Linked DNA regions of Drosophila melanogaster. Changing the gene in region 2 together with the main gene of any one other region gives a genetic interaction. Each region holds a gene or a part of one and is shown on either strand. Other genes may lie near its edges. The genes, in order: Drice, hid, Dark and Dronc.

Region 1 (6,379 bases), on a different chromosome or scaffold from region 2:
CCTTGGTGACCCTCGCGGAAATCACTGTTGAGCATCTTGTTGAACACTTCGCTGGTGTCGCAGAGCAGCTGCTTATTAAACCCAATGGAGGTGGAATCCGCTCCATGACCAACGAGGAATCGCATGTCGCAGTTGGCGTGCAGCGGTGCGGTATCATTTGCAATTTGGTTGCAGATTCCTGCTGTACTCTCCGCTGGTTCGGCTTCTGGCATAACGATGCCCAGGGTATATCGCGCCATCGATGTCACCGCATCCGCCGCCTCATCTGCGTAGTGGTCCTCGGTCTTCTTGCGCAGCATCATGTCGAATAGCATATTCAGCGCATTGCCGTCGTACAGGAACTGATAGAGCAATCGATGGCTTTTAACTATGTAGGCCACCGAAATGGCGGCTCTCTGTTGGGATATCACATCGTCGCAGCGCAGGAGACGCACTAGCTCCTCCTTGCCATAATTCGATTCTCCCACATTGGTTAACGTCTCCAAGAAGGCGAAGCCGTCTTTGCGAATCTGAAATATACGTGCGGTGTTAACTGTGATGAACATTAGATGAATGGGCTCACTTTACCTCCTTCAGCTTGGTAAACTGGTACAGTTGATGGACCACGCCATGCTTTATTATCTGGGCAAAGAACTGGCTCTCACTGAAAGGATATACGTGCAATTAGAATACATGCTTATCCTTAGTTCAGCTTGACAACTTACAGTAGAATATTTGTCAGGGCATTTGGGAAATTATTGTTCGATCCAAACAATTTGATGGCTCTAATCAGAGTGTCGAGCGTCTCTGGCTTTCCCAGCTCCACTCGCTTGTTCACCATCAGCGTGATGCGATAGATAAGGTTTTCTATTATGTCAATGGTGTTGCATGTTGTATTGCGGAACGGGGCTAGTTTCGGTGGTACATCCGAGCTCAGTTCCTCGAGATCCTCTTTGTCGGACAGCGGATCATCTATGGGTTCGCTGCCCTCCTCAATTAGTTTCAGTATATCCAGAACATTCGAAGGCTGCGAACGATTGGCGGCTATGCGCCGCTCTCTTGTGTCCAAATTGCTATTATTTGTGCTGTCATCCTCATCTTCGTCGTCATCACTGCACGCCGGAGAATAGTTGTCGTCGTCATCATTCGTCAGCAGATCTGTGCACACCGGTGACATGCTGCGCGAACTGCAGGGACTGGTTGTGCGATAAGACCTAGGTGAACTGCTCGGCGATTCAAAGTCCGATCCTAAGGTCTCGTGGGTTTTTGAGAACTTGTGTGCAAAAAGTGGGTATAATTAGCAAGTGGCTTGTAAACATATGCTAGCTGCTATGCTGCTAAATAAATACCTTGCTCAGCGTCTCTGGCGTTGTGGGATCCGTCAGTTTTCTTTTTTTACCACCTTGCAGTCTCTCGTCTCGTCGACGTTTGTGATGCTCATCATCGCTGGTCAGGTAATCGTTTAGTTCCCGCACCAACATGGGCATTAGTCCTTCATACAGCATGAGTTCCATGCTTAAGTTATCATATTGGAAGTTGTAAAGTATGTGAAATAGCTGTTGGGTATGAAGAAAGCCATTATATATAGCAGATGTCAAGAGGGATTTGGTTTCCATCTCACCGATGATCGCTCGCTCTGCGAGTTGGAGTCCCGGATCATGGCCACCAGCTTGCGCAGTGCCCCACATCTCCGGATCTTCGAGCGGCTGCAGGCATCGGTGGATAGCGTCAAGATTATGTTGATGCAGTGCCGGCTCTCGCTTTCGCTAAGTGGCTTTGCCATGTTCACAGCCATGAGCATCTCGCAGGCAGCCACAATGGCATCCGCAGTGCTCAGCATGTAGAAGGCGAAGGGATCCTTGCAGAAGTTAGAGAGGATTTTAAGGGCAGAGGCCCGTTGGTCGCCGTCCTCCTTTACGAAGCACACAATGGAGGCGAGCGAGGTATTCCAGGAAATGGACTAACAAGAAATGTTTATTATGTACTACGTTTTGGAGAACTTAGAAAACAGTCTCACCTCCCAAACTTTCAGTCCAATTTGCTGCGCGGATATCAGGACCAGACACTTCAGAATCTCGAGGGCCAGCTCAACGGCCGCTTCATTTTCCTTGGGCAGCGCATAGTCACAGTTCCTTGTGGAATTCTTGAGCATCTGGTGGTCAAAGATGTCACTGCGAACACCCTCCAAATTCCGGGCTACCTCCTCGAAATACTTCTCACGGTGCTGGTTCCTCTTCAGGCCAATCAGCGTGGACATCTCGATGTCCGGAACGGGCTCCTTGGATGCCTCTTCGTTCTTCATCACGGCCAGAAAAATTCGCATCAGCTGCTGGAACCCATTGGCCATGAGGAAGTACTTCAGGAACTGGCTGCTGGCCAGAAGGAAACGGCAGACGCGGAATGCCATGATGCGGGTCTGCACCGCACTGGTGGACTCAATGATGTGGCAGATGGCCGGTGCAATGGCCGCATAGTGCACTGTGAGACACTGGGACGCCTTCTTGCTCTTGGCGATGTTTCCAAGCATCCGGCAGGCGCGGCACTGGATCAGGGGATTAGGTATGGTCTTCAGAATGGTCACCAGCGGGTGAATCACCTTGCATTCAACAGCCTTAAAGTGGAAAGTTTTAAATTTTTTTAACCGTTGTGGTTCAAAATAAAGATAAAAATGTAATCTGATAATCCCACCTCAATGCAGGACTGTTCGTCGGTGCAGCAGTTCCCCAGTATGCTCAGTACCACCTCCATTATCTTTTCATTCAGCTTGGTGATCAGTCGCACCTGGAAGACGCAATTAATAATGATTTAAAAATCGATTCGAATAACGATCCTATGTGAGCGGCAGTGGCTGTCAAACCACCATGAGCGTTGTGACTCCCAAACCCACCATGATGTGAACGCCCCCAGCAGTGCGAAATAAAACAATGCCATTTTTATCCTTCACCAGATCGGTGCGCAGCTTCACCAGGCATTTGTAAATGACTGTTCGATCCGTGGAGGTCTTTAGCACTTCCAGCATGCTCTCCACTTGCTCTGGTGTCCAGAACATTGGTAATTTTCTTAATTTTTAAACAAATTGAAACAATTCAACAAATTCTACAGTGCGTCTCAAACCTCTTTGAGAGTGTGACCGTGCATAAGAGCGTATTTTACGGTATTTTACGTTATTTTTCGAAAATCCAGCAGCGGTCTGCCTTATTTATAAACTGATGTTTACGTTTTAGCTTTGGATGCGAATTCGATTCTACAATAATAAATGGAAGCAGGCCTGTTTTTTATGTAGATTATACAAGTTCCCACAAAATTACCTCCAAGCTTTTAATTTCAAATTATTTTAATATTTTTTAAAACCCATTTAATAATTTTTCCTATATTTATTTACTTTCTTTGTTTACCGTAATCGTGACACGAGGGCTGAAGTGTCATCACCAAATCAGGCGCTATTTGGTGTTTTTCAACTGCCAACAACGGTCTTACAGAATTAAAGACAAAAACGCAATCGACTAAAGTAATTAGTTAATAACTAGCTGTCTTTGTTGCGCGTAAACACGGACTTTCCCCAGAACGAAGCTAATTTGCCCAAGTCGTGCATCCAAGCTTTTCACAGATTTGGAAAAACCTGTTTCGCAGTGCTTGTGACTCATCAGTTTTCGCAGGCTCAAGGAGAGAACTTAGCCATGGACGCCACTAACAATGGAGAATCCGCCGACCAGGTGGGCATCAGGGTGGGCAATCCGGAGCAGCCCAACGATCACACAGATGCCCTGGGCTCCGTGGGATCCGGAGGAGCGGGTAGCAGCGGCCTGGTCGCAGGATCCTCGCATCCTTACGGCAGCGGAGCCATTGGGCAGCTGGCCAACGGGTACAGCTCACCCTCGTCCAGCTACCGTAAGAATGTAGCCAAAATGGTCACCGACCGCCATGCAGCCGAGTACAACATGCGCCACAAGAACCGCGGAATGGCACTGATCTTCAACCATGAGCACTTCGAGGTGCCCACCTTGAAGTCTCGCGCGGGAACCAATGTGGACTGCGAGAATCTGACTCGGGTGCTCAAGCAGCTGGACTTCGAAGTGACCGTGTACAAGGACTGCCGCTACAAGGACATTTTGAGGACAATCGAGTATGCAGCGTCGCAGAATCACAGCGATAGTGATTGCATCCTGGTCGCCATCCTGTCGCACGGCGAGATGGGCTACATCTACGCCAAGGACACACAGTACAAGCTGGATAACATCTGGAGCTTCTTCACGGCCAATCACTGCCCCTCGCTAGCCGGCAAACCCAAGTTGTTCTTCATACAGGCCTGCCAGGGCGACAGATTGGATGGCGGAGTGACCATGCAGCGTTCTCAGACGGAAACCGATGGCGACTCCTCGATGAGCTACAAGATTCCAGTGCACGCCGACTTTCTGATCGCCTACTCGACGGTTCCTGGATTCTATTCGTGGCGCAACACCACCCGCGGCAGCTGGTTCATGCAGAGCCTGTGCGCCGAACTGGCGGCCAATGGCAAGCGGCTGGACATCCTGACCCTGCTCACATTCGTGTGCCAGCGGGTGGCCGTGGACTTTGAGTCCTGCACCCCGGACACTCCGGAGATGCACCAGCAGAAGCAGATACCCTGCATAACCACCATGCTGACGCGCATTCTGCGTTTCAGCGACAAGCAGTTGGCACCAGCCGGACGGGTTTGATGGCTAATGGTATGGATCAAACGGTGGGTACGGCGAGGTGTGTGATAAACCAAGTCGCAATTAAGTTAGAACCTCATGGGCTATCGGCCTTGCAGCATATTTTTTATACAACACTTTTTTAACCTGCCCAATTGCTCGACGAGATTGGTGCCACTGCCCGTTTTATTTTATTTAGGCACAAAGTATCTTTCGATTGACATTTATTAATGTCGCATTTACTCGTCTGTATTTATATTTTTTGGGGTGGGTAGAGTAGATCGATTTAACTTAGAAATCTAAGAGGTTTTTACTCCGGCCAAAATTTTTTGACAATTTTAACTTGCCAACTGAACAAAGACGATCTCAAAATTTTAAATTCTCTACTAAACCTTATCATAGAACAACTTGCGCCTCTTTGATTCTCGATCAGGAATGTCGGCCCACCCTTATCTATATCTACCTTAGACCATTTACAGACAAGACCTTTTTACAATTTTATACACATAGATATCTTTATAGTATAAGCCTGTGTGTCATGGTCGTCCAAAACGAAAACAAACGATTTTAGCCTGTAGTCGAGTGTTTTATGAACAATATATACTATTTCTATGCCATTTGTACTCTTATATAATGCACATTAGCAAATGTTCTCCTTTCAAGTTAACCGCTAATAAATCCGATTGAAAACAATGAGAAATCAATGACCATTGGCTGTTTGCTGTTGACCCTGTCGCCTCTTTTGGGCGCCAAGTTGAGCGGCATTTCCCGAAAAGGTAGCACGCGGAGACGGAAAAATAGACGAGTCCAGCCATTGGCTGACCCTGATCGTACGATTTCAGAGCTTACAATCACTTTATTCTTAGAGCTGGACACAACGAGAATAAATTCCAATTTATAGTTCACTTAAAGCACACGGGTATGGGTTGAATTCAGAGAAATTTAAAGCCTGTCAGCAAATCCGACTCTCCGGCTAGATAAATGCACGTTTCTGATAACTTTCGACTAATTAAAAACGTAGAATATGCGCTCACAATTTTCTAGTTGAGGAACATCTAGATGTGGCCGCCCTCCTTTAGCTTGGCCACCAGGGCATCCACGTCGGCGACGGTGGCGCCGGCCTGGCGCACAGGAGGATCCTCCACGGAGATGACCTCGATGCGGGGCGAGGTGTCCACGCCGAGATCCTTGGCCGTAACCTTCTTCAGCGGCTTCTTCTTGGCCTTCATGATGTTCGGCAACGTGGCGTAGCGAGGGGTGTTCAGCCGGAGATCGGCGCTCAGCACAGCCGGGGTCTTGGTCTTGATTGTCTCCAGGCCACCATCAATTTCACGCGTGATGGTCAGACCGGCGTCTGTCTTCTCGATCTTGTTGCAGAAGGTGCCCTGCGGCCAGTCGAGCACGGCGGCGGTCATCTGGGCCGTTTGGTTGGCATCATCGTCGATGGCCTGCTTGCCAAGGATGACCAGGTCGGCTTTTTCGTCAAGAGCCAACTTGGCCAGAATCTTCGACACGTGGATGGGCTGCAGAAGCTCGTACTCGGCGGCCGGGATCTCTACGTGGACGCCGCGATCGGCGCCCATGGCCAGGGCGGTGCGGATCACCTCCTGCGACTGGGCCGGGCCCACGGAGACGGCGATCACCTCCTCGGCCAGCTTTTTCTCCTTCAGCTTCACCGCCTCCTCCACGGCGATCTCGTCGAAGGGATTCATCGAGTGCTTCACGCC
Region 2 (6,718 bases):
CGCATTTTTCAAGACAACACATTACTGTTTATTTTGCTTTTTTCTGGACACTGACAGCCAATTCGACGACACAGTGCACTCATATTACGCTTAATCAGTTTCGTATCCAAATATTTTGTATTTATTTTGCACTGCCTCGAGTAATTGGAGTTGCGAACGGGAAAGATATACAAATAATATAATAAAGGCGATCTAAAAACATAAGCAGAGCTGAGGGAAAACAAAAAATAAATCACAAAAATCGAGCCCCTTTTTTCCGATTAATCCCCGTTTTCTCCGCCTTCACGTACTTTTGTTCTTTTCGCTTTGGACTTCTTCGCTTGTTGCATGCTCGCTCATGTTCATGTTTTTTATGTCGTTTTGTGCAAGAGTGTGCTTGAATTTCGTCATCTTGGGAAATCCTTGCATAATGTACATATTCATGTATGTTCATCCATACATACTTACGTACATACATTTGTCGTCGAGTCGTTTAGCTTACGTGTTATCGCACTTTATCGGCATATTTTTGACCTCAATCTTAGTTTATTAAATAAAGAGAGTTTTTGGGTGAAAACAAAAAAGGTGTCAGGTAGGGCTAAAATCATTTTTGATTTTAAAAATTTAAGGTAATCATTTAAGGGATATGAACAAGTATAATAAAACTAGATTAAATGCAAGTGCATTTTCTTCAGAATTTTCGACGGGCCTCTTTTATTTTGAAATATGGGCTATTAAACTAGTTTTAGGTCTAGAATCTAATTTGTTTTAAATTATATTGCGAACATTTTATAATACCACATTATTAAGAGAGCTACTAGAGCTACATAGATACAAAGCTAATAAATGGATCTAAAGTAATGCCAGTTACGAGAATTATTTGCCGTAAAATTTAAATTAAAAGCCAAGAATTGTTTTACGCGTATTTCGTAATTTTTTTCAAGCGTTTTCGCGCGCAAAGTTGGGAATGACAGAGAAGGAAATAGAGAGAGAGAGAGAGAGAGAGAAAAGGAGAGGAAAAAGCCTGTTTGTATAATGTGTGGGAGGGAGAGGGGAAGATGCAGAGGAAGACAAGAGTAAGAGCGAAAACAGGTTTTTCATGTTGCACAGTCAATTTTTGATATATGGTGAAATTGATTAAATATAGCCAACATCCAAATCGGAAATGTAATTAGCTAAACTCCTTATCGTATATTCAAAAACACGTTTGAAATGTTTAATGTGAATGAACGCCAACTAAATAGTCTTTATTACATTGCTTGAATACCCAAAATATAAAACAATTTAATTTATTTTATTAAATACAATAAACTAGCTAATCATTCTCTGCATAAATGTACATACATACATACATATGTACATTCATTTAGCCAGTAAAACCTGAGCTAAGCAAGTTGGATCCTTTGTTAATCATGTTGCTATTTTTCAAATTTATATTCAAAAAAAAAGTATTGAACATTATAAAATTGTGAACTTCCCTTCTCAAAATATTTTAAAATGTGAGAAAGTAATCAAGCTTTGTCTAAAAACTCCCTTTTTTCTACTACCTTTTTAACTCATTTAATCCGCTCATAGAATATACTCCCATTTATCATACTCTTTCTACTCCGGTTTTTTGGCCTCTTAAGAACGCTTGCTCTCCCTCCGCTCTCTTGTTTAAACAAATACAAATCAAAACCGAAAGCAAGAGCAAAGTGCAATAACGAAAACCACAAGCAAAGAGTGTTGTACAATTGCAGTTTTTGTTTTGCTTTAGCGTTCGCTAGGCAGCGCAGTCGGATATACTGCCTCTTCGCTACTTCTGATGAGTTTTCTTCTTCTTCTGAATTTACCTGCTCGACAAGATCTTTGTGTACCCACACATACACGCGTACACAGCCTGCCCACACACTCTTAGTTGAAACGAGAAAGAACGTTTTGTAAGAGTACCAACTGAGACATACCCTTCACATTGTTTGTGCATCTAAATATGTACTTTATGTTGTAAGTAAATATGAGTTATAAAATAGTGTTACTTCAGCAATTAGTGCGCTGGTACAATATTTCAGTTTTTTCAGTATGCGAAAGCCAATCAATTAAATTTTTACAACCTTAAAATCTAGATATGTTAACTATGCTCCTTGATGCATTTATGTAGACGCAATTCATGGTCCGAGTATACTCTTCCTCACTCAGCTATTACAGGGTAGGTAAAGAGCGGGATTTTTTAAAATATTTTTTTTCTCTCAAGTGTGCCTCCTTCATGCACGTGCATGTGCAGGAGAGGGAGCGAGAGAGATTGCGATTGCACTGGCTGCGCGCCTACGCTGCCGCTCTGCCGACGTCGCGGTAGAGGCTCTGTTGCCGTAGTTTGAGGCCCCAGTGCGAACAGTTCATTTTTAGCCGCGGAGCCAGTAAGACGTGTTTCCTGCCCTCTTTCTTTGAGTCTGCGACACGTTTTAAGTGCTCTTCCATAATTGACAACAGCAAAAGCAAAGAATAAAAAAATAACAAAAAATAAAAAACGAAATCCATCGTGAACAGTTTTGTGTTTTTAAATCAGTTCTAAACACGAAAAGGGTTGATGAAAAACGCAGAAGAATCCGAAAAACTAACTAACCGAGCAAAAACTTGACTTGAGTGTTGTTTGACAAATCAGGAAAGATAAAAAACAAATCATAAGAAAAAACTGCACGAAAAATGAAAAAGTTTCTAATATTCAAAATCTTGCACAAGAAATACAAAATCAATTAAAGTGAACTCTAACCAAAAGTTGTACACAAAATAAAAAGCAAAACAAAGCAGCGAAGAACAATCACAAGAAGAGCAAAGTGCCAACAAAGTGCAGGAAGGAAGGAAGCGGATAAGGACAAAAAGGAAGCCAGCACACACACACACCCACACAATGGCCGTGCCCTTTTATTTGCCCGAGGGCGGCGCCGATGACGTAGCGTCGAGTTCATCGGGAGCCTCGGGCAACTCCTCCCCCCACAACCACCCACTTCCCTCGAGCGCATCCTCGTCCGTCTCCTCCTCGGGCGTGTCCTCGGCCTCCGCCTCCTCGGCCTCATCTTCGTCCTCCGCATCGTCGGACGGCGCCAGCAGCGCCGCCTCGCAATCGCCGAACACCACCACCTCGTCGGCCACGCAGACGCCGATGCAGTCTCCACTGCCCACCGACCAAGTGCTATACGCCCTCTACGAGTGGGTCAGGATGTACCAGAGCCAGCAGAGTGGTAAGTCTACAAAGATCTCAATTCTCCACTCTTAAGAACTTTGAAATTGTGTGGGTTAATCAGGATATCCATTTAGTTTACCTCAAATACATTTGCAGATACAAAAATAAGTTTCGATTCATATACGGTTATTAATTGCGAAATGTTTAAGAAGTTCCCACACAGAATAACTGCTTACGCATGTTGGTAATATATTTTCTAAAATGCTTATAACCAACACTTTATTTAAGCCCACTTGTTTTGCTATTAACAAGAAGGATTTTCATAGGATCTCCTTGTAAAAGTAAACAAAAAATGTTATTAACTTGAAATTGCTTAAAGAATAGTAAATTTATTTCTTTCGAAAAAACAGCATTTTAAATGTTTGAAGATATTTTCAAACTAATAGATTTGATCAATAAAAAATGGCGAACAATTTTTTTCTATACAAGCGACTTTAAAGGTTTCATATTTTTGATTACCGCTTTTAATATCATTTAGTTTAGTTTAAGAAAGTTTCTGGACAGCCGGAGGGTTTCCCTCATTTTAAAATGGGTCAGCAATTAGCCAAGTTGTGACGTTATTTGTTAACTGCTTCAGTTCCCCTTGTGCAAGTTTCACTTTTCAAGGTTGTTGATTCATCCAGTTTCGAGTAACTGCGTCAACTGCATCCAGGTTGTTTTTGTTTACTTTTACCCAGTTTTTTTTTTATTTTATATATGGTCAATTCAGCACTTTGTCAGCTTATCAGCAAAAAAAAAAGTGTAAAAGGCAGAGCGGAAGGCAAATTTCTCGGCCACATTCGAAAGGAAGCCGAAAAAACGGTAATTCAATAAAAATTAATCGAACAAGTTCAAAAAGGGGAAAATTGAGAAGTAATTGAGAAGTTTCGATTGGAGGAGAGAGCAAACTTAATAAACGAAGTCACAAAACTGCAAAAACTCAAAATCATGTGGGGAATTACTGGATCAAATTCCCAAAGTGGGAATCTTACAAATTAAAAAATTTTGTATTGAGACAAAAATCTACTTATGTTATAAATAAATGAAAATAAAGTAGAAATGGTGATAACTAGCTCGATAAATCACATTAAGATCAATTTCCTTCGGTCATGATTATCTAAACTAGGCTGATAAAACTTTTAGTGTGCTATGGCTTTAAGAAAGAAACGCCGAGACACATGCAAGACAACTGCCGAGTTGGCTGTCATGCGATATTGTTCGTAAATATGGTCAAAAAATTGGGCGTGTGCTGGACCAGCAAGAAAATAAAGACCTGGCTGAAACCAGGGAAACATAACCCAGCGGCAATAAAACAGAGCTGGGAGCACAGAGCTAAGCACGTTTAATTGGCACGCGCCAAACTCGAGTCGAATGTCTTACTTTTGAGACTTTTGAGTGAGTGTGGTGTGCCTGTGTGTCTGGGTATCTGCAAGATATCTATCTATCTCGAGCGTACTGCTCGTATATCTTACCACTCGACTAACCCAAATTATTAAACGCCATTTGACCTTAGGCAACTAGTTTTCCGATTTTCCAAAAGGGGGCCAAACGGGTTGAGGGTGTGGGCCATTTGCAAAGTGTTTGACTTAACGGTTGTTTAAGTAGCTTTTGTGCTCGGCCACGTTGAGTGCGGTCAGTTTTTATTGTTTTTCTTTTTTTTGCGCGCGCGCTTTTCATGTTTGCTTTGCGGTTTTTCATTCGCGTTCCTTAATTTTGTGTTGCCTTTGCATAATAGATTTTGTCGCTGTCGATGATTGCCAGCTGCGCTCTTTGGTTCCACCGAACAACCGAATTGTTACTTTATATTATTTTGCTGTTTTATTTGGTTTGTTACCTTTTTTGCTGTCAGCAACAGTTGGTCAGACGAAAAAAAAGCGTTCCCTTCTCGAAATTACAGTGAGTCACTTTTGGGCGCTTCAATCTGTTTTCGTCTATAATATCATAATTTATACAGAGATACTTTTTTTTCGCTTACGAGAGCTGATGCCCAGTGAAAATTCGATTGCGGGGCATTTATTTTGAAAAACGAGCTAAAAAGACTTGACGTTATCGTGAAAGTTTCGATTTAAAAGTAATTTTCCCTTATCTCATTTTCCCGAACCACATCTAAGCCCCTACTCAACGCACGCCGATCATGTACTTTAGTTAGCCACTCAAGAGGATAATTTATCTAATCGTGACACATCCCGAAACTAGTGAACAATGCTTGAAGCCCTTGAAACAAGAAAGGGATAAACTGTAGTTAACCAAGAAGCGAGAACCCTTTTTCCTGGTTCCCCCAGCTATGCCATACATACACACATACATGCAAGCCAGATTCACGGAATACTTTTAGCCAGAAACGCGCTTAGTCATCAGCCAGCTATCAACCCTAAAAGCCTAAAAATGCGAGGCGCAAACAACCCCGACAAAAATTCCTAAATACCAACAGAGCTTTTCCCTACCAAAAGCAAAAAAAAAAATGCGGCAGGGAGCCTTTTGTTTTGGGAGAGGATTATGCATACAGCATCCAGAGCCCACCACGTAACCCATTCCCAATGGCGACCAACAAAAGGTGCAATGACAGCAGCGGTTCCCTAATCAGTGATGGGAACAGGTACATTTTATCTGTTGGCTAATTGGATGCAGATTAAAAGATGCGTAAACCTAGCGGTTATTATGTAAACTATTATGGACTATTACTTTTTTGGTTCAACATTTAGTTATTAACATAGATTTTTGTTATCATAGATAATAATATGTACCTATGTAGGTACAGTGCAGAGTACAAAAATGTTCCCCACCGTACTCAACTCCAAGTTTTGGTCGCTCTGCTTTGGCTTGCAAATTCGCATCATTCGCTTTGCTGTTGCCAACAGCTGTTCTGCTGCTAGGCGTTGTTTTTCGCTGCCGGCGTCTCTGCCGCACTTGACATTTTCAACCATTTTGTTTTGCTCGGCAACTTCGTGTAGGTGGACTTTAGTAGAAAAGAGGAGCCATAATGGCGGCAAAAATGGCGACTCCTGCCGCATCCTGCCTGGCAACAAAACACAGCTGACTGCTGCGCAGATAGAGCGAGATGAAGCCTACGCCTGGAGAAAGAGAGGGAGCGCAAAAACTCCGATTAACCGCAAGTTTTGAACTCCTCTTTTTTCTGCACAGCATCACAAAGGGGGTGGGAAAATAGGAGGAGGGTTGGATGGGAGGAGGTTTGCCTCCGCTTTTCATCATCGTCATTTCCATCTCGATTTGCTTGGCCTGTTGCCAAGCTGATTTATACGTACAGGCGGCTTTTTATATTTTACATACTTTGCATTGCTTTTTTCTGTTTCTCTCGTTGTCTGCTTTATTTTTTCGCTTTTCGTTGGTATTACGGCTTCGCCTTTACATTGACCGTGATTTTTGGTTTCCTTCTGGTTTTGTTTTCGATTTTTTTATTTTTCCCTTGCAAATACATATGCAGCTTTTTTTTGTTGAGTTGCGTCCTCTGTAATTGTTACATTTCATTTAAGTTTTATATTGTCTTACAGCTCAGTTTTTTATGACTTTACTGCTTTCATAAAT
Region 3 (9,656 bases), on a different chromosome or scaffold from region 2:
CTTGACTTGAACTTTTTAATAAAACCAAAATGCAAACATTGAGGCCAAAGCCTTTTTATTAATTTAAGTCAGCTTAGAAGTAGACGAGCCACAATCCAGATACGTACCTATTTATTGGACCGCAACACTGATATCCATACACGAACTTAGCAGCACTGTCCCGGGACCAATGCTTTTGCAACACTTGATCTGGCGTGCCTGGCAGAAATCAAAACAAACGCACAGCACAACCACCCACACAGACATGCATGCATACATACATACGGACAGCACAAAGAGCAGACAACAAAACCGCGTTCTGTGTTTTTCGTGAAATGTCGTTTATTTGGTGGCGGTTACTCGCGTTGACAAACAAAGGCAGGGCAACGCACCCACCGCCCTCTGAGATATCATACTTGGTTAGCTGCATACATTCGCAAATGTAAGCGCCAACAACTAATGTTTGCCTAGGACAAATCCGGACCCAGGAGGTAGAAGAGCAAAACCATCAGGTAGTAGAGCAGTAATCCTATAAATGCCATGTTGTAGTTTGGACTTTCCTGTTTCGTGCGCCGCCTAGGGACGCACTTCTGGCGTCATGAACTGGCCTCCTCCAGAATTGGTGTCGCCCTCGCCACTCCGCCGTTCTTCTCCAGAACCAGGTTGCCAACTACATCAGCACCCTCGCTATCCGAATCCTGCATAAGTGGGCTGTCGAGAATTCGAAGATTTTTTAAGTCTTCATACTGATTGGCAATATCCAACGTAACTGGGTCAGGTGGAGGTTGAAGTCTGCTTAACTCCAGCAACTGCAGATGGTAGTAGACACCCTCGTCATCTATGGCATAAAAGTGGGAGAAGTGGGCGTCTGTGAAGAACTGACGAGCTTCATTTCCCACAAATTTAACGCAGGCCAGGAGTTCCGGACGGATGGCATTGCCGCGCTTATTCCGCCACAGTTCCGCAGTCCCTCGGTTCACCGGATGAAACTCGTCGGCAACGAATGTCACATCTACATCGATGTCCGCTGCAATGGGCGCCGCATCCACAGCATCCTCTTGTGTAACACTGTGCTGCTTATGGCGTCGACTGCGCCGCCGTTTTTGCTCGCGCTCCAATTGATTGTTGCGCATGTGCGTCACATTCCAGAAGCACAGCTGCTCCGCGCAGCTGATCAGGAGCAACTTACATGGCGAGAATAGCAATTGCCGGATGCAGTGCTCGTGGACCTCTTCAATGCTGTAGATCAGTTGAACTTTTCTGTTTTCAACGGCAAAGAGCTGTTGGGAAATGTATAATTAGCAGGAAATAATTATGAAACGAATTTGTAAGACGTATGTATACCTCTAAAGTGCCATTTTCGAAACCCATAGCCAACATGGTACCATCATCCGTGGCTACCAAATAGCTGATCTTGGCCTTCTGGGCGATCTCTTCTTCGCAAATCTGTTCGTACCTTAGTTGGTTACAGCTGAATATTAAACGGAATACCTGTCGTTGGAAATAATTGATAATTGTTTAATGATATTATGTTTAGCAAACCCACATCGATGATGTTGTTTTCGTAGGCCAGAAAGAGAAGACTGTTCTTTAGATCAAAGCCGACAATGTATTCCTCCGAATCCTTTGGTTTCACGAATGCAGATGGGTTAGCTATATCCAGATGCTGTTGGTAAATATTGAAATCAAATACTGCACTTTTACTCGCATAAACTTCAATTAAGAACACTCACACAGACTCCGTGGTCGGAAAACAAAATGATATACTGTCCTTCCTGCAAGGACGCGTACTTGGTACTAACATCCATCATCAATGGCCACTGGTCATTGGGTTGCAGCGGATCTATCTTTTCCAGCTGGAATATCACAGTCTTCTGGGCACTGTGTGCCGACGCCACCAGAATGTTGGGACTGACCTGTTTGAGGTAATCAATGGGCTCCTCTATAAACTGCTGAGGTAGCGCTGTATCATGAATAACATCTATTATCACTCCGTCCACATAGCCAACGAAAATCTGTTCGTCGTTAAAGGCGGATATGGCATTTATCTTACAGTTACTGGCAGCATGAGTGGGTGTGATTGTGGACCATTCGGAAATTCTAGAAATGGCCGGTTTAATTAGGTGAATGCGCTCCTTGGAGTCCACAGCCAGAAGTTGCGTCCGCTCTCTGGTCATGTCCATCAGAGAACGCAGATAGACATTAGGCTCCAAGCAAGCCTTTGTCATCACGCTTATCTCATCTGCACTGTGAACCCAGGCGATTTCCCTGTTTTGATGTGAATTCGAGCCGCTTACAGAGCGCAATGTGTGCACATGGACCACCTGTTTTCCCTTAGCGCCGCACAAAACAATGTACTTATAGACAGGATCAAACAGCTCGTATATATCCACACACTCTATATGTTCGCTGACATTGCTGCGTAGCACGGGATCAGAGATTTTCAGATCATACACAATAAGTCCCTCGGACGTGCCCAGCAGTAGGTAACGTCCGTCAGTCGAACGCTTTCCGCAGGTGATGAAACTTCCTTCTGGCAGTTGCACTGCCTCCGATTGCAAACTAACCGAAAGACCTGGCAAAAAATTGAGCCGCCATACGCTGTACTTAAAAATCAGCAACACGGTGGCGGTCTTACTCCTTTCGTCAAATACATCTAAGGCCAACGGCGTGTCGTTTTCGACATTAAAAACATGTAGTTCCAGCGTATTGCTGGAACCGTTGGTCAAATCCCATACAGTAAGTGTGCAATTTGAGGTGCAGACCACGTAATATCGCTTTAAAACCTGAACGAAACACCGTATTCCCGACTGCATCGTTTTCAAAACAGGCACGTGCGACAGTTTGAACTCCTGATCTTGTTCGTCCCAATTCAAAATACTCACATCACCATTGATGAATGCCACATGCAGTTGGATGTTGGCCTCTGGCAATCCGGCGTCTTCATTTAAATAGAAAGCAACAATTTTCAGATTTGCATAGCTCCCTATAAAGCGTTTAACCACGCTATTGACTAGCTGCTGCTTGCTACCACCACTGTGGCGCCTTCCTGGACAATCGGGCCACAGGGACCAAAGTTTTACGCTGCCGTTGCAGTGCAAGGTGATCAAGTGCTTCTGTTGGTTAAATACCGCCATACGCAGAATGTCACTGCTGTCGCTCTCGTCCCTTAGCAAATAGGTGTCCTCTCCCTCCAGCGAAACATCGGTTAGCAGGATCTGCCCGCTGGCCAGCGCTATCAAGCAAAAGTCGTTGTGAAGGTAGACAGCATGGCGCCCCTCATTATCACCCAGGTTTATAATCTGACGGTGCTGGTGGAAACGACCGCTGATAAAAGGAAAAAGTGAAATAATAATAATAAAGTAACTTTAATATATATACATTTCATTATTACTAAAAATGACAGCTCTGTTTGTTTGATTAGTCAATAGCTGGTAAGTACTTACTGGTTAGTAAACCAAACCCGATCGTCAAAGCGCTGCACTTGTTTATGGGCTTCTTCAAAAATCGCCTCATCCTCGGCCATCAGGGCAATCCTAAGCAGGTCCGTATACTTTGAACAAATAAGATTTTCCTCAATCTTTGGCAAAAAATCCAGAATAGCGTTGACTAAGCGCTCATACTTTGGGTCATTGTCTGCATGAAAAAAAGATTACATTTTTTTTTTGTTTCAAATGATTCAGAAATTTACGTACCGCAAATATATGGCTTGTAGAACTTCAGCTGCTGTAGCGTGTTCAAGATCGATCCACTGGCATTCCAAGCAGTTGAATCGTGCCGAATCTTTTGTTCTAGAAAACGGAAATCTAAAAAGACCATGCGAAAGAGAGTCATCCGTTCGGGGTGCTCAATGTTTTTTAGATGATGACCGATGTGGCTATAGAAGTATTGGTCCAGGTAAGGCGGTATCAAGTCGTCGGAATCGAATGTTTTTGGGATACTAACAAAAAGGTTAAAATCACTCAGTATACGGCTTACTCGTGGCTTAAGGTTAATACATTTTAGCAAAAATTCAAGATATCAAGAAAAGGGCTAGGAACATACTTATAGTGATCTACGATACTCCGATGAAGTGCATATTCGTTTTCAAGCTTGACTTTCAACTCCAAGTATATGCTGGGTATACTTATGGTTGACTCTTTTGGTTGCTTCTCCACCAATGAATATTTATGAAGTTTGTTAACCACTACCATTACATCGGATTTGATAACATCAAACCATATCAACGATAGGAGCTGTTCAACAGGAAGTTGATAACGATTAGTAGATGTATGCCGTAAAGTGCAGTGCTCACTTACAATAGTGGGTATGTGGGCTGATGGAGGGAAAACTGACAGTCTATCAAACATTTTTCTATATTCAGCGGGCTCCAGAACGTTTAGAGAGCTCTCAATGATGGTCGTCAGCTTATCACAGTTTACACTACAAAAAAAAATTATGTATTTATTCAGTGTGAACACTCATAATCCACATACTGTTTCCAGTTGTCCCAGGTCGCCAGACCATCCCGAATGCTCTCAGCAATAATGCTTAGTCTGCGGGGATTCGTTGTCAAAACTTCCCGGGGCAAATCCTGTGGTCGACAGTCGAGGTACTTTAGAAGCAAAGACTTAACCTCATCCGGCGTAAGCGTCATCGAATGATGATCCAATGAAATATGAGTTGTGGTAGCTGCCGAAAGAAAGTCAGTGACCTGCTTGAACCGTGTGGTTAGCAATATCTTGCAGCTCAAGTTGAAAGCATTCCAAGCCTTGGCATTTTGCACATTAAGCAGAACAAGGAGACAATTCTCGTATGGCTTGCTCTTGAGCAGTCGTCGCAGTTCCGCCTGAATGCTGTGGATTCGAAGCTTTATGTTACTGCTATGATCGCTACGACTTGTCCAGTTGGGATCGATCTGGTAAAGTAATTTCTGCAGCATCTCTAGCACGGTCTCCGGGCTATTGCAGTTCTTCAAGTTAAGCCAGAAGATCTTAAAGTCCATCTTGCATTGCACTTTGTACGATAGGCACACATCCAAGGCTACCCAAGTCTTTCCCGATCCCAAGACGCCATCAATCAATACATTTTTCGCTGGGCGAAGTTCTAGAAGAGCCTGCCTTAGCTTCAGATACTGAAATATAAAAAGTATTGTAGTATGGTTAGATAACAATTCCACAGAGTAAAATTGTTTTTCGGTTTCGTACGTTGGACTTCTTTGATTGTTTTTTTTTTCGAATGGGAGATTATCATACCGGTTGCAGGCGGCTCACATTGTACTTGGCGAATACTTGGTTGTCGTTGTACAGACGATCTCTCTGCTCGATGTACATCCTGGTCATCATGCTGGGCTGCCGTTGCTCAGTCTTGATTGGCGACATTAAGAATTTGTAGTTGATCCTGAGAACTTCCTCCACAAATTTCTGGACCATTTCCTCCTGTTTAGAGAGCAGTGTCCAAAACAAGCGAAGTGTGCCGCTGACTGCATCCTTAGACATGATGATGTGGTCAATTTCCTCCTTGGACAATATTGATTTCGGCATATCCTGGACATCCTTGCAGTCGAAGTTGTCGACGAATGCATCCTCAAACACGGACAAAATGTCCTTGTATTGGTATTGGTGCTCCCCAGTTTCAAAATCCATATTCGTGTTACCTACATATGTAAATATTTATATAGTAACTAAATTTTATAGCTATGTTAGAAATAATTTATTGGCATTGGGTTATTTTTTGTGGTATTTTCATTAATTACAAAAGAAAATGTTATAGTCGAGTTTTCCGGCTATTAGATACCCGTTACTCTGCTGGAAATTTTTATCTCATAGAAATTCGAAAACAAAATAAATAGAAATAAAAATTAAAACGGTTCAAAAGTGTGGCCGTGACAGTTTTGAGCAGTTTGTGGGCGTTAGGGTAGGCGTGGCAACATGGGTGAATAAACTTGGGCTGCGTCTGTATCTCTAGAATCTGTATTCTTAATATCAACCTTCTAGCTTTTATTGTTCCTAAGCTCTCCACGTTCACACTAACGCAACCAGATCGAGTGTTCTAATAATAAAGCTGAATCAAATCCGAATCCCTGTCTTCTCCTTGGTCGGGCAATCACACAAATCATAAATTTGGTTGGACCAACCAATAAAAACTCAGGTGCAACTCTTAGCGAACAGAATCAAGAAAATCGAAAAAAACAAATCAAAACAAAAAAATGTTCATTTCAAATGCACATATGTATGCATGTATATGTGTACATACATATGGCGGAATTTTTGGCGCCAAGCTTGGCCCACTTTATTTGAATGCACCGTAGACGGCTTCTCGAGGAGAGAAATGCGATACCATGGATCTATGAGATCCCTTATCTGCAAGCTGAGATCGACTGGATCATCGGTAATTTCACAACTAATCGACAAGGACGCGAACGAGATCGCCTCTAAATAGCTAGGAATACGTGAGCTGGCGGTGCAACCATCGAAAAAGGCAATTCCGGTTGCATTTTTGTTCTCCTCCGCTCGTCAATGTCGTAGAACCAAAATCGGATCGAATTATTAATCACCAGTTAGATAAGCGCGTAAAGGCAGAGAGAAGATACGTCACTGAGTTTGCCGTGTGAATGAACTTGTTATGTTTGTGTGTAAGTGCTCTCGCATGCAATTGTTTCAGTCACACACACAGTGCCTTGGATTTGTGATTGACGGGGAGGCACAAGGCCCAATGGAAGAATTAAACAAATGGACTTGTAGAGCACAGAAAACGAAAGCACTACAGGTACATAAGCTTTCACCTGCACGCATATTTACTTACGCTCGCCGTTTATTTTTAACAAATCGTCGTCCTTATTCGTATTTTGTTGTATGTGTAAGTATTGCACTTTATCCTTAATATATAGTTGCTCCGGCTTGTTCACATTGTTCTAGCACATTCTAAGCGAAACACTAAAGGCTTGAAAAAATATAAATAATGTACTAATCTATGCTACTCATTGAGTAGTACTCAAAAAATAACAAAACGGAATTTATTCGACTGTGTGACCGTTTTACGCGAGGGAAATAATATCGAATTATATATAGGGTTGTCAAGTGGTTCAAAAATGATTTTAATCGTAATCTGAATTGTAATTCGATATTATATTGCGTGATTTAAGATATTGAGAATTTGTATATTCTTAATAAGAAATACAATTTACATTACGATTAAATTAATTTTTGAACCGACAACAAATAATATATAATAATAAATTCTTATTTATATATTAAGAATTTCTTATTATATTTTAATATATATTATTTGTTATTAGTTATTAATTTGTTATATATATGCCACCTTATATATATATGCCAAATATATATCTCTTTTCCAACTAGATCTAAGATTATAATAATACCATGATTTTCTTGTACGAAATGAAGTAGTTTATCTAATGCTTATTTTCTAAAAAACGGTTTAGCACTTATTACTTTATTTAAAGTGTGACCATATTGAGCCGTATCGATATATCACAGACAACAAAGGTATTCACTGCCAGGTAAGTTTTCACTAGCCACTTGCGACCACACCGACGGTGAAAAGGCGAAATAATAAATTTTAACAAATTGCCGCAGTGTAAATTAAAGGTGCGTAGCATTTTACATTCCCTTTCAGCGGTCACCGGCCGTCCCGCCCCCGCACCGTCCAATTTAACATTTTTTACGGCCAGTAAAACGTGCAATCCCACCCAAAATCAGACACGAAATTCGGAGCAGCGCATCAGAGACGCAGACGAGAAAGTGACGACGCAGCAAAACGAAGCAACAAAAACGAAAATCGGCGACGTACACATTCAACTTGAACAAATTTAAGGTAGGCATTGCAATTTCCCCACCACCACACGGTAGAGTCGGATAGGTCGTGTCCATTTCAATGGGAAACACCGACTGACCCGGCTGCGGAAAATAAAGAGATAAAAAAAGAAAGGCGACAAACCAGTGGTAGGAAAACAAAATGTCCGCAACTCTGTCTGAATCGGCGTCCCGAGGCTTGCAAACGTAACCACGCTGGGGAATGCCCTGGCGAATGTGATTTGTCTTTATTTAGATAAACTAATCCTCATCCATTACTTTACTCTGATTGGTGATTTGCAGTTTTCGAGTCCAACGCAATGTCATGCCGCGCCCCCTTCCAGCCCGACGATCAGTATGAGCAGCTGCGCCGGCCGAATGTCGGCGGAGCAGGCGGAGTGGCCATGCCGGGACTGGATCAGCAGGCGCATCTCTTTGGGGAGTACGCCGGAGCGCAGGCGTACGGTCAGGTGGTTGGCAATTTTCCTGTGCAGGCCATGCAACCCCAGGCGCAGACTCTGTCCGATGCGTCCAATCTGTCGGCCACGGCCACAATTTTCATCCCTCGAGGAGCTGCTCCCCCGCAGCAGCAGTCGCGACATCAGCAATACCAGCAGGCTGGTGGAGCCGGTGGAGGAGCTCCTTATGGCCAACAGCAGCCGCGCTATGTGAATGGTTTTAAGCATCACCATCAGCAGCACCACCAGCAGCCGCACTACAACCATCATCACAATCATCAGCAGAAGTTCAACAACGATATGCAGAAGCTAACGAATTCCGTGCAGAATCGCCTGCACCTGAATAGCCAGCAGGGCTCAGCCGGCAACTACTATCAGCAGCAGCAGGTACACCAAAACACACACCACCACCAACAACACCAGCAGCAGCATCAGCCACACAACCAACACGCCAAGTTTCAACGGCACTTCCACTTGAATAACTCATTCCAACAAATCGTACAGCAAACACAGCACAACCAGCCGCAGCAGCCGCACCACCAGCAGCACAACCAACAGCAGCAGCAGTATATTCAGAACCAGAATCAACAACCGCAGCCATCCACTTCGACTGCGGCGGCCTCCTCGTCGTCCTCGAACTCTTCGCAGCCGGACATGGCCACCATAGCACTGGAGTATCTTGATACAGTCATACATTGCCTTAACCAGGTGAGAATTTCGATTGATAAGCTATCAGGGCAATTATGGGCTTCCTTTGATTTATATTTTTAGTGTTTTATGATTATTTAATCAATTTTAATAGGTGTCAGCTTAATATTTTCTTTAAATATAACAATATATTTAAAATCAATATATTTATGCTCGAAAGTAAAAAAAAAAATCAGCTGAAACATTTCAGTCTAGTCAAACTTAATCTTAAGTTTTAAACCTAAATTTCCTACTAACCAGACATATTAATGATCTCCATCCAGAATCCGGGCCAATTTGATTCGATTGCATCACGCTTCCTGACCATTTTCGATGGCATGGAGAACAACCAATTCGTGCTCTCCATCGCCATGGAGGACATCTTCGAGAAGTCGATCGAGCAGCCGAACTTCCGGTACATGGGCGCCAAGCTGTACAACCTGCTGCACATGCTCAACTCGAAGCCGGACTCGCTGTTCCACACGCTGCTCAAGTGCAAGCTTGACTACCACCAGGAGGAAGTGACCAAGTACATGCGCTCCAACGAGCAGCAGAAGGTTCGCGAGACTGCCCTCTTTCTGGCCGAGCTGTACATGCAGTTGCGCGGCGACGACGACTCGCGCATCCAGTTGATCGCTGTGAATATTGTATATTCGCTGAGTAAGCTGCTGGCCAGCGAGAGCAACGAAAATGTTCGCTGCCTGTGCCAGACCCTCAAGCTGGCTGGATATGATCT
Region 4 (6,971 bases), 8.2 Mb from region 2:
CACTATACACATGGTCACGCCTTTGGGTTAGTTTTATTCAATATCCACCTGGCTGTTTAATTTATTTATATTCGCGAATGAGCACACTTCTTCCACACTAAGTTTATACACCGGCACCAGTCTGACCAGAGTTTGCGTGGGCCGAAATTCCAAGATATCTTAGTTTGCAGAGAATACCAATCATACTGCTACTATATTGAAATAGAATGGGATAAATTCAAATCTGTTAATTTACGTTTAAAAAGTATTTTAACCCTATGATGTCAGTTAACTCACATAGTATAGACTAATCCATAGAAAAGGAAATGGTTTAATAGCTGCCTTAATAGTCTAAAAATACTGCACGTTACTAAAATACTAGATGAAAATACAAAACGGTAACTGTGAAAACAGCTGATTTGCAGCAAACAAAGTTACCTCTGCAAACACAACGCATTTAAGCAAATGCCATTTGTGCAGTTTAACTAAGTAAAATGCAGGAATTTTCAGCCAAACGAGACGCTCTTTTCGCATGTCTCGACGATGCGAGCAAAGAGTTGCGGGGAACTGCCTTGGATCAGAGCAAGGCCAAGGCGTTTTCCATCAATGCCCTCGATCGAGGAAACAAATCCGGAAACGAATCCGGACAGGTGATGAACTACCGCCAGGGTCGCAGCATTGTTACTGGCCTCGATGCGGAGGATGGAAGACTGCGACGAATGCGCGGCAAGGAGAGCATTTTCAAGAAGCCCGAACTCCCCATTGGACGCTGTTTGAAGCCAAGAAAAACGCCAGATTACCAGGTGACAGACCATCCCTCTGCAATTAGTTGTCCCCACCCTAAACGTTTGACCTACTCTCTAGGTAAACCCGCACAAATGGAAGAAGTACTCCCTGTCTGATGTGGACATTTCCGAACAGAGCAACTCCGCCGCCGCCTTGTCCTTCCTGCGACAAATGGATGCACAGCGCGAGGCTGAGGGCGTCGATAACGAATCTCCACCTACAGATGGCAAGATCGAGTTCAAGAGGACCAGCAAACTCAGCCGCAAGCTCAAGAGCCTCAAACAGCAGGAGGTGGATGATGTGGAGCTGGATAAGCCGCAGTTAAGAGGTTCCAAGCTGGTGATGCCTGAGTATGTAATTGGCCAAAAGCCGCATAAGCCAAAGAAATGCAAAACCAAATCGGAACAGAGCCGTGCAGCGGGAAAACTACAACTGTCCCACTTGGCGGAGGAGGATGAGCAGGATGATTAGGTTAAAATGTATGATCCTAAGATTATATTATATAATAATTAGTGTCCCAATGAAATTTTAGAAATGTAAATAGATTTTAATTATATACAAACTGCGGTTTGTTGTGAAATATCATCGTTTATTTTGTAAGTGTACACACTCAAAAATCAGACTGGAAAATTGCTTTACATTTTGCCTAAATGTTCGATTTCAAAAATCTGGCTGTGTATATACTGGAACTCTGTATTATAATATTTGTAGATTTCTGGCAGTTATCACATAAATTACATAATTTCGTACCTTTAAATGAGGTATGCAATACGTATTAGAAGAATACTTGAATGAGTATTTGTTACAATATAAACATTTTATAGCACGCGAGCACAGAACACATAATCTAAAAGACATACTAAATGCGACGATAAGAACATAAATGCGGTTAAAAATGCATCCGGAATGATAAAATGTCCAGTGGCGGCAACTATTCGTTGAAAAACCCGGGATTGAAGTAGAGTTTCTTATTAAAGCCAAGATTATCATAGGCACCTGTCTGCATGGAACCCTTCTTGGTGCGCTTATTACCCACGGCTTCGCTCGTCTTCTTTAGGATATCCTCAAGGTCTGTGTCGTGGGCATGATCGGCCATCACTTGGCAAAACTTCTGGATGTACCAGCTGCCCGTGTCGAGATCGCGGTGGGTAACATAGCCCGGCGTATTAGCATAGCAGACCAGAGTGTCGGCAAGACTTGGCACATTGGTGCTCGGGCTGGGTATGCCCTCCGTCTGGGTGTCAGGCCACTTCTCCTCTTGCGCCGTATACACTGGCTCCATGAGATTGCCTTGATTCTTTGGATGGCCCAAATCATATTCATCGCCGCGGCAAAAGGGAAACATAAGCACCTTCGGCTTGTTCACCAAATAAGGACATTTGGCCGTCTGGAAATGGTCCTTGATCTTCTGCATATCGACCACAGATCCATCGCAAAACTCCACCTTCTCTTTTCCCTCCACACTGTTGCCGTGTGTCATCAGTACCATTACGAAACACTCGGTATTCTGCACATACGACGAGGAGGTCACCATTGTCAGAAGTTTAAAGAACTGATCCTGATTCACGTTCCCATAGGGGAAAATCGTAAAATTCAGTTCTTGAAACAAGTGTATCAACGACTTGCTGTCCTTTTCGGCTCCGATCCGTCGACGGTTTTGATCCGGATAGTCCATTATGTTAACCATTAGCAAAACGCCTCGGTTGAAACGTGATTGCATCTTATATGTGCCCAATATGGCACTATCCCCACCATGTATCTTTTTCGATTTTTTTACCTCGGGACCGTCAACGACACCCACATAAGGGGTGAGTGCTCCCAGCGGCTCATTCCGGAGCTTTGGTAGGAGAGAGAAAGAAAGAACAAATTACAATAAAGATAAGATTTTCAATATATATATTATATTTTCATTGCACGGTTAATGTGGCAGACAAAGAAGTAATCAACATTCGTGCTATATAAACACAGCTGCCAGCAATATTGCGATAAGATTCTGGTTAAAAACAAATCCTACTAAAAGAATAATTGGGATAGGTAAGTAGAATGGATGTGATTCATGCTTCCAAAAAAAATGGAAAACAAGAATCTCATACACGAACTAACTTCTGAAAGAGAAGCAAATAATACTGTGCACATGTACCAAAGTAGTATTCATCATTGAGTCCATTTACAATTCTTAAAGATACCTTTTCTAATCTCATTCCAATAGGAATAACTCAATTAACAAACCTAAAAAAAAAAATGCAAATAAATTGTGCCATAAACCGGTTTTTTGTAGAAATCAGGGTCAATGACCTGAGCTGCAATTTCACCATCAAAGCTTTCGTATGATTTTATTTTCATTACCTTGCTAACGCAGGGTCCTTCGGAGGCTTCGGGTGAGGGTGTGTCCACAATATCGGCCGACTTCCGGCTGGTTCTCCGTTCGTTTAGCGAGATAAAGGGTGGCCTTGAATCGGACTCATCGACGGATTCCAATAGAACGGCCGCATCCAGACAATTGATATTGCGCAGTGCATTGATCAGCAGGTTATAGGCGGTGGGACCACGCTGGGTGATCTTCAATAGGAGCCTACGATGCTGCTCCACACGCACATCCTTCTCGTCCATGTTGAATGGCTTGCCATTGAGATCCTGCGTATTTCTTAGCATCTGAACGGTTAGGATGCCCTGTTGCACGCACTCCATGGCCAGACGCTCGTAGTTCGTCCATTCAACCAGTATATTCAGATTCTTGCGTATATGCTCGCGATGCCTCTTCGGCATTCCAATCTCGAGCTCCGGCGGCTGCATTCCGGATATGGCTTCCACGCGTTCCGGTGACTCCGCTTATTGGGCGCGCCAAGGATGGCTGCCGTGATCAGTCTCCAATTGGCAGTGGTATTGGCAGTGAATCACCCGTCTCCAAGGTTTTCCCGGGAATGATTTCGTTTATCGCTACTTGTCGATTCTTTGTCTCCGCTTTGTTGTTGTCGTCGTTGTTTTTGTTTTGCGACTTTCAAGAAAGGGGCACAAATCGGCGGCCCTGCTGGTGTCCTTATTTTTCCAAAAGTAAATTAACTAGTCTATATATTGCACTAGATGATCCTAGCAAGGATCGGGGATCTTCGAATAGGATTTCTTTCGAAACAAAAGGACCAACGAGCGTTTCGCGCCGCCAAACTCGCCACTAAACTAATAAATGAAACTTTGGGATTGGTGTGGCTGCTTGTGGGTGCGCCATTTTAACCAGAGAACGCGTCCGGGATAAATCCATGACATGAACCGTCTCCATGTTCCACTTATTCCACCATTCCTTCATTGCCGCATCAAATGATTCAATTTAATACTAAATACCAAATACCATATGGGGTCAGCCTAACAAACCGTAAACATAAACAAAAGAAATGGAGGAGGAGCAACAATTTACGCCGGAACCGAAAAACTCCGCGCAAAAAGGCGCAGAAAAGCCTGCAAGGATTCCGAGAGAGGTGAAAGTTAAGCTGCAAAGGCAACTAAACAGACTGGGCTACTCACAGCAAATCCTGCTCGAAGCAGCCAAGCAGCAAAATCAAAATAATTCGAATGGCATTCTCCGTGAGTTTTCTTAAAACATGCATAATGCAATAAAAGTACATTGTCCCCCAATCCCTTTTCTAGAGTATGTGGCCGACATGATTGGCAAGGGCGAGGAAATGGTGAAAAACTGCGACTCCGTTAGCTTAAACAACATTAACCAGTGGCTGGAGCTCATGAAAAGTTCGCAACTCGCTGAACTCTGCGAATTCGAAGCAGCCGTCGTTGTGAACTCCATAATCCAAAATGAGACAAAGCCATCGCCAACGGAACTGAACGGCATTGACTTGAAGTAGGAATGGTTTTGATAAACTACATTTGTATTTAGCATTGTGGTACTTTCAGTGAGGCCTACAAGTTTCTGGAAAACGCTTTGATGGGCCAGCCGCAAAAGAAGATGAGCGATGCGACCAAAGAATTTTTGTCCAAGGAAATTGAGGTGAGCAGAAGGCTGCATCAACTTTCCAAAATAGTTAAAAAAAAAGGAAATCCTAATGCCAACAGCTGCTCATAGAGAAGGCAAACACCGACGAATCCGACGATGTGGCACGCAGCATGGGGCAGCGTTTATTTGACCACCAGTTTTTGGATTACATGGAACAGCGGCAAAAGTGCAGTTTGGATCCACTATTCCTGGACGAGAAGCTAACGTAGAGGCTGTTATTGAGTAATTGAGGAATTTAGCACACAGAGCATTTATTCATTTCCACACATTTATTAAACATTTAAATTCAATTGTTTGTTACATACGTACATTGTCACACGCATTTGCACCGCTCCATTATCATCAATCAAATCATCGGATCCCACGTTTATACATTATTAGTATTACTATGCCAAATGCCCCAACCTTTGTACGTATTAATATTTGATAATTACACTCTTAATTAAGTACTTGACTATAAACAGTTTTAGCACATTTAAAATCTAGAATTCCTTTAGTTGTACACAATTACTTCGAGTAGTGTAAGAAAAAGTTGTGGGTCTTTGGCCTTTGGATTCTCTCAATTGCATAACATTTATTGTGCATGATTGTTTTCAATTGTTGGGGCTGCCAATTAGCATTGCATAGACTAGTGTAGAGATAGGTAGTTTAGTTTTAGGTTTTGCTACGATTAGCTTTGTTTTAAACTTTAAGAGGCATAAAAACAGTTGAGTGCTGCTTGACTCCCATAGCATCACAATAGAATCACAAGAGACAGAGTTGGCTTCATTTCAATTCAATTCATTAGAGGATCTAGGATGGTACACTTACGATAACATAACGTACATACGATCAGAATTACATACAAATTCGAATACAAATATAATACCCTTTTGTTTTAGGCGCAGTTACTAGCACTAAAACGATCTTCACACAATCAAATGCAATTCAATAATGTACATAATATAACTCTTAAATGTTCAGTCCAGTTTGAGCTTTTGGTTTTCCCCTTTTTCTTTGATTTAGATTTTGTTTTTAATTTTTTCATTTTTAAATTTTTTTTTTTGTTTCTTGTGTTTAGGTTTCTGTCTTGTCGCGTAAACATTAATTAAAATTAAGTAAATCTAATTATATATACGTACGATTAAACGCTAGTAAACCATATCGATATGCTTGTCTAAGGTGAAATAAATAAACAACAAATTCGGACCGAACAAAATGCAAAGCAATTTCAGGTGCATGGCAAGGATATGCTGGAGTTTCAGGATCAAATTAGCTGGCATTAACCAAACGCAGATCCAACGAATCGAACAAACACAACGAACGACAACAACGTAACTTAAAATTGCAATTGTTTGTTAGTTGATAGTTGATATAGAATTAGTTTTAGTGTCGCTTGAATTTTGATTGTCCCGTTCCCGTTCGTGTAATTCATACTTTTATTCATATCATTCGAGTATGTGTATATAAAGTAGAGTGGTTTTTAATGTGTCCTAGATAGAGTTCGTCCTGCTGCTGCTGCTGCGTTTTGTATACATATATAAATTCATATTTTTTTTCGGGTTTCACTTCTACTCCGCTAAACATAGCACAACAATAATGATAATAATCGCTTTAATTGCCGTTTACGTAATGAATACATCTATGACACTGGTGAGTCTTCACTATATGTATAAAGTTTCAAGAGTTTACCATTACCAATTACCACACTTTTACGCATATAGCTGCCCAACTATACAAATTGACTATAAATGTGAGACTGAGATTGAGTTTGAGATTGCCTTCGGGTACAGCGGCTTCAGTAATTACTGGCTCTGGTTCTATTTCGGATCGGTGGACCTTGGATTGGATTCGTGTATATTCACCTTAGTAGTAGTTTTGGGTGTTTTTTTGGAGCTATCTATTACGTTTGATCATAGTGTGTATATATTGAATGAATTGAATGATGGGTATAGAATATACATAGATTTATGTGGGATTCATCACTATAAAGCGCAGGCGGGATCACTCGAGGTTCTTGGCCAAAAAATAAACGTTCCTTTCGTATTCGTGGTTATTCATATTGATTACTTTTTTGTTTGTTTTTTTTTTTTTTTTGATTGCGATTGCTGTAAAGCTCTGTGATAAGTTTGGTTTCTATGGTGCTAGGTACGTTGTATGTAGGTACACGATTCTCTCTTAGTTGATTGCATATATTTATCATCGATGTTTGCAAAATAAATAGGCA

Evidence for each region.
Region 1: of hid (region 2) and Drice, changing one suppresses a phenotype caused by changing the other (phenotypic suppression), as found in Drosophila melanogaster (6 studies listed by BioGRID).
Region 3: of hid (region 2) and Dark, changing one suppresses a phenotype caused by changing the other (phenotypic suppression), as found in Drosophila melanogaster (3 studies listed by BioGRID).
Region 4: of hid (region 2) and Dronc, changing one suppresses a phenotype caused by changing the other (phenotypic suppression), as found in Drosophila melanogaster (9 studies listed by BioGRID).

The regions. Positions count from the first base shown.
Region 1 is NT_033777.3:29,796,242-29,802,620, forward strand, and holds Drice (death related ICE-like caspase), read left to right. Parts: upstream 1-3,416; 5' UTR 3,417-3,656; coding exon 3,657-4,676; 3' UTR 4,677-5,343; downstream 5,344-6,379. Other genes in the region: Rnb (R and B), read right to left, coding at 1-509, 568-643, 705-1,252, 1,329-1,535, 1,601-1,939, 1,997-2,590, 2,668-2,760, 2,867-3,028; Etfb (electron transfer flavoprotein beta subunit), read right to left, coding at 5,708-6,379.
Region 2 is NT_037436.4:18,181,268-18,187,985, reverse strand, and holds the start of hid (head involution defective), read left to right. Parts: upstream 1-2,344; 5' UTR 2,345-2,863; coding exon 2,864-3,194; intron 3,195-6,718.
Region 3 is NT_033778.4:17,017,348-17,027,003, reverse strand, and holds Dark (Death-associated APAF1-related killer), read right to left. Parts: upstream 6,978-9,656; 5' UTR 6,763-6,977; intron 5,615-6,762; 5' UTR 5,604-5,614; coding exon 5,214-5,603; intron 5,093-5,213; coding exon 4,455-5,092; intron 4,402-4,454; coding exon 4,278-4,401; intron 4,215-4,277; coding exon 4,024-4,214; intron 3,920-4,023; coding exon 3,675-3,919; coding exon of another isoform or gene 3,667-3,674; exon of another isoform or gene 3,616-3,666; coding exon 3,426-3,615; intron 3,353-3,425; exon of another isoform or gene 3,307-3,352; coding exon 1,713-3,306; intron 1,652-1,712; exon of another isoform or gene 1,646-1,651; coding exon 1,526-1,645; exon of another isoform or gene 1,471-1,525; coding exon 1,324-1,470; exon of another isoform or gene 1,260-1,323; coding exon 576-1,259; 3' UTR 301-575; downstream 1-300. Other genes in the region: Paip1 (Poly(A) binding protein interacting protein 1), read left to right, coding at 8,096-8,941, 9,205-9,656.
Region 4 is NT_037436.4:9,965,475-9,972,445, reverse strand, and holds Dronc (death regulator Nedd2-like caspase), read right to left. Parts: upstream 3,968-6,971; 5' UTR 3,559-3,967; coding exon 3,112-3,558; intron 2,603-3,111; coding exon 1,697-2,602; 3' UTR 1,444-1,696; downstream 1-1,443. Other genes in the region: CG6674 (uncharacterized protein), read left to right, coding at 474-782, 844-1,236; CG6685 (uncharacterized protein), read left to right, coding at 4,152-4,341, 4,405-4,612, 4,666-4,759, 4,825-4,974. UniProt on the Drosophila melanogaster protein: Involved in the activation cascade of caspases responsible for apoptosis execution. Effector of steroid-mediated apoptosis during insect metamorphosis. Overexpression promotes programmed cell death.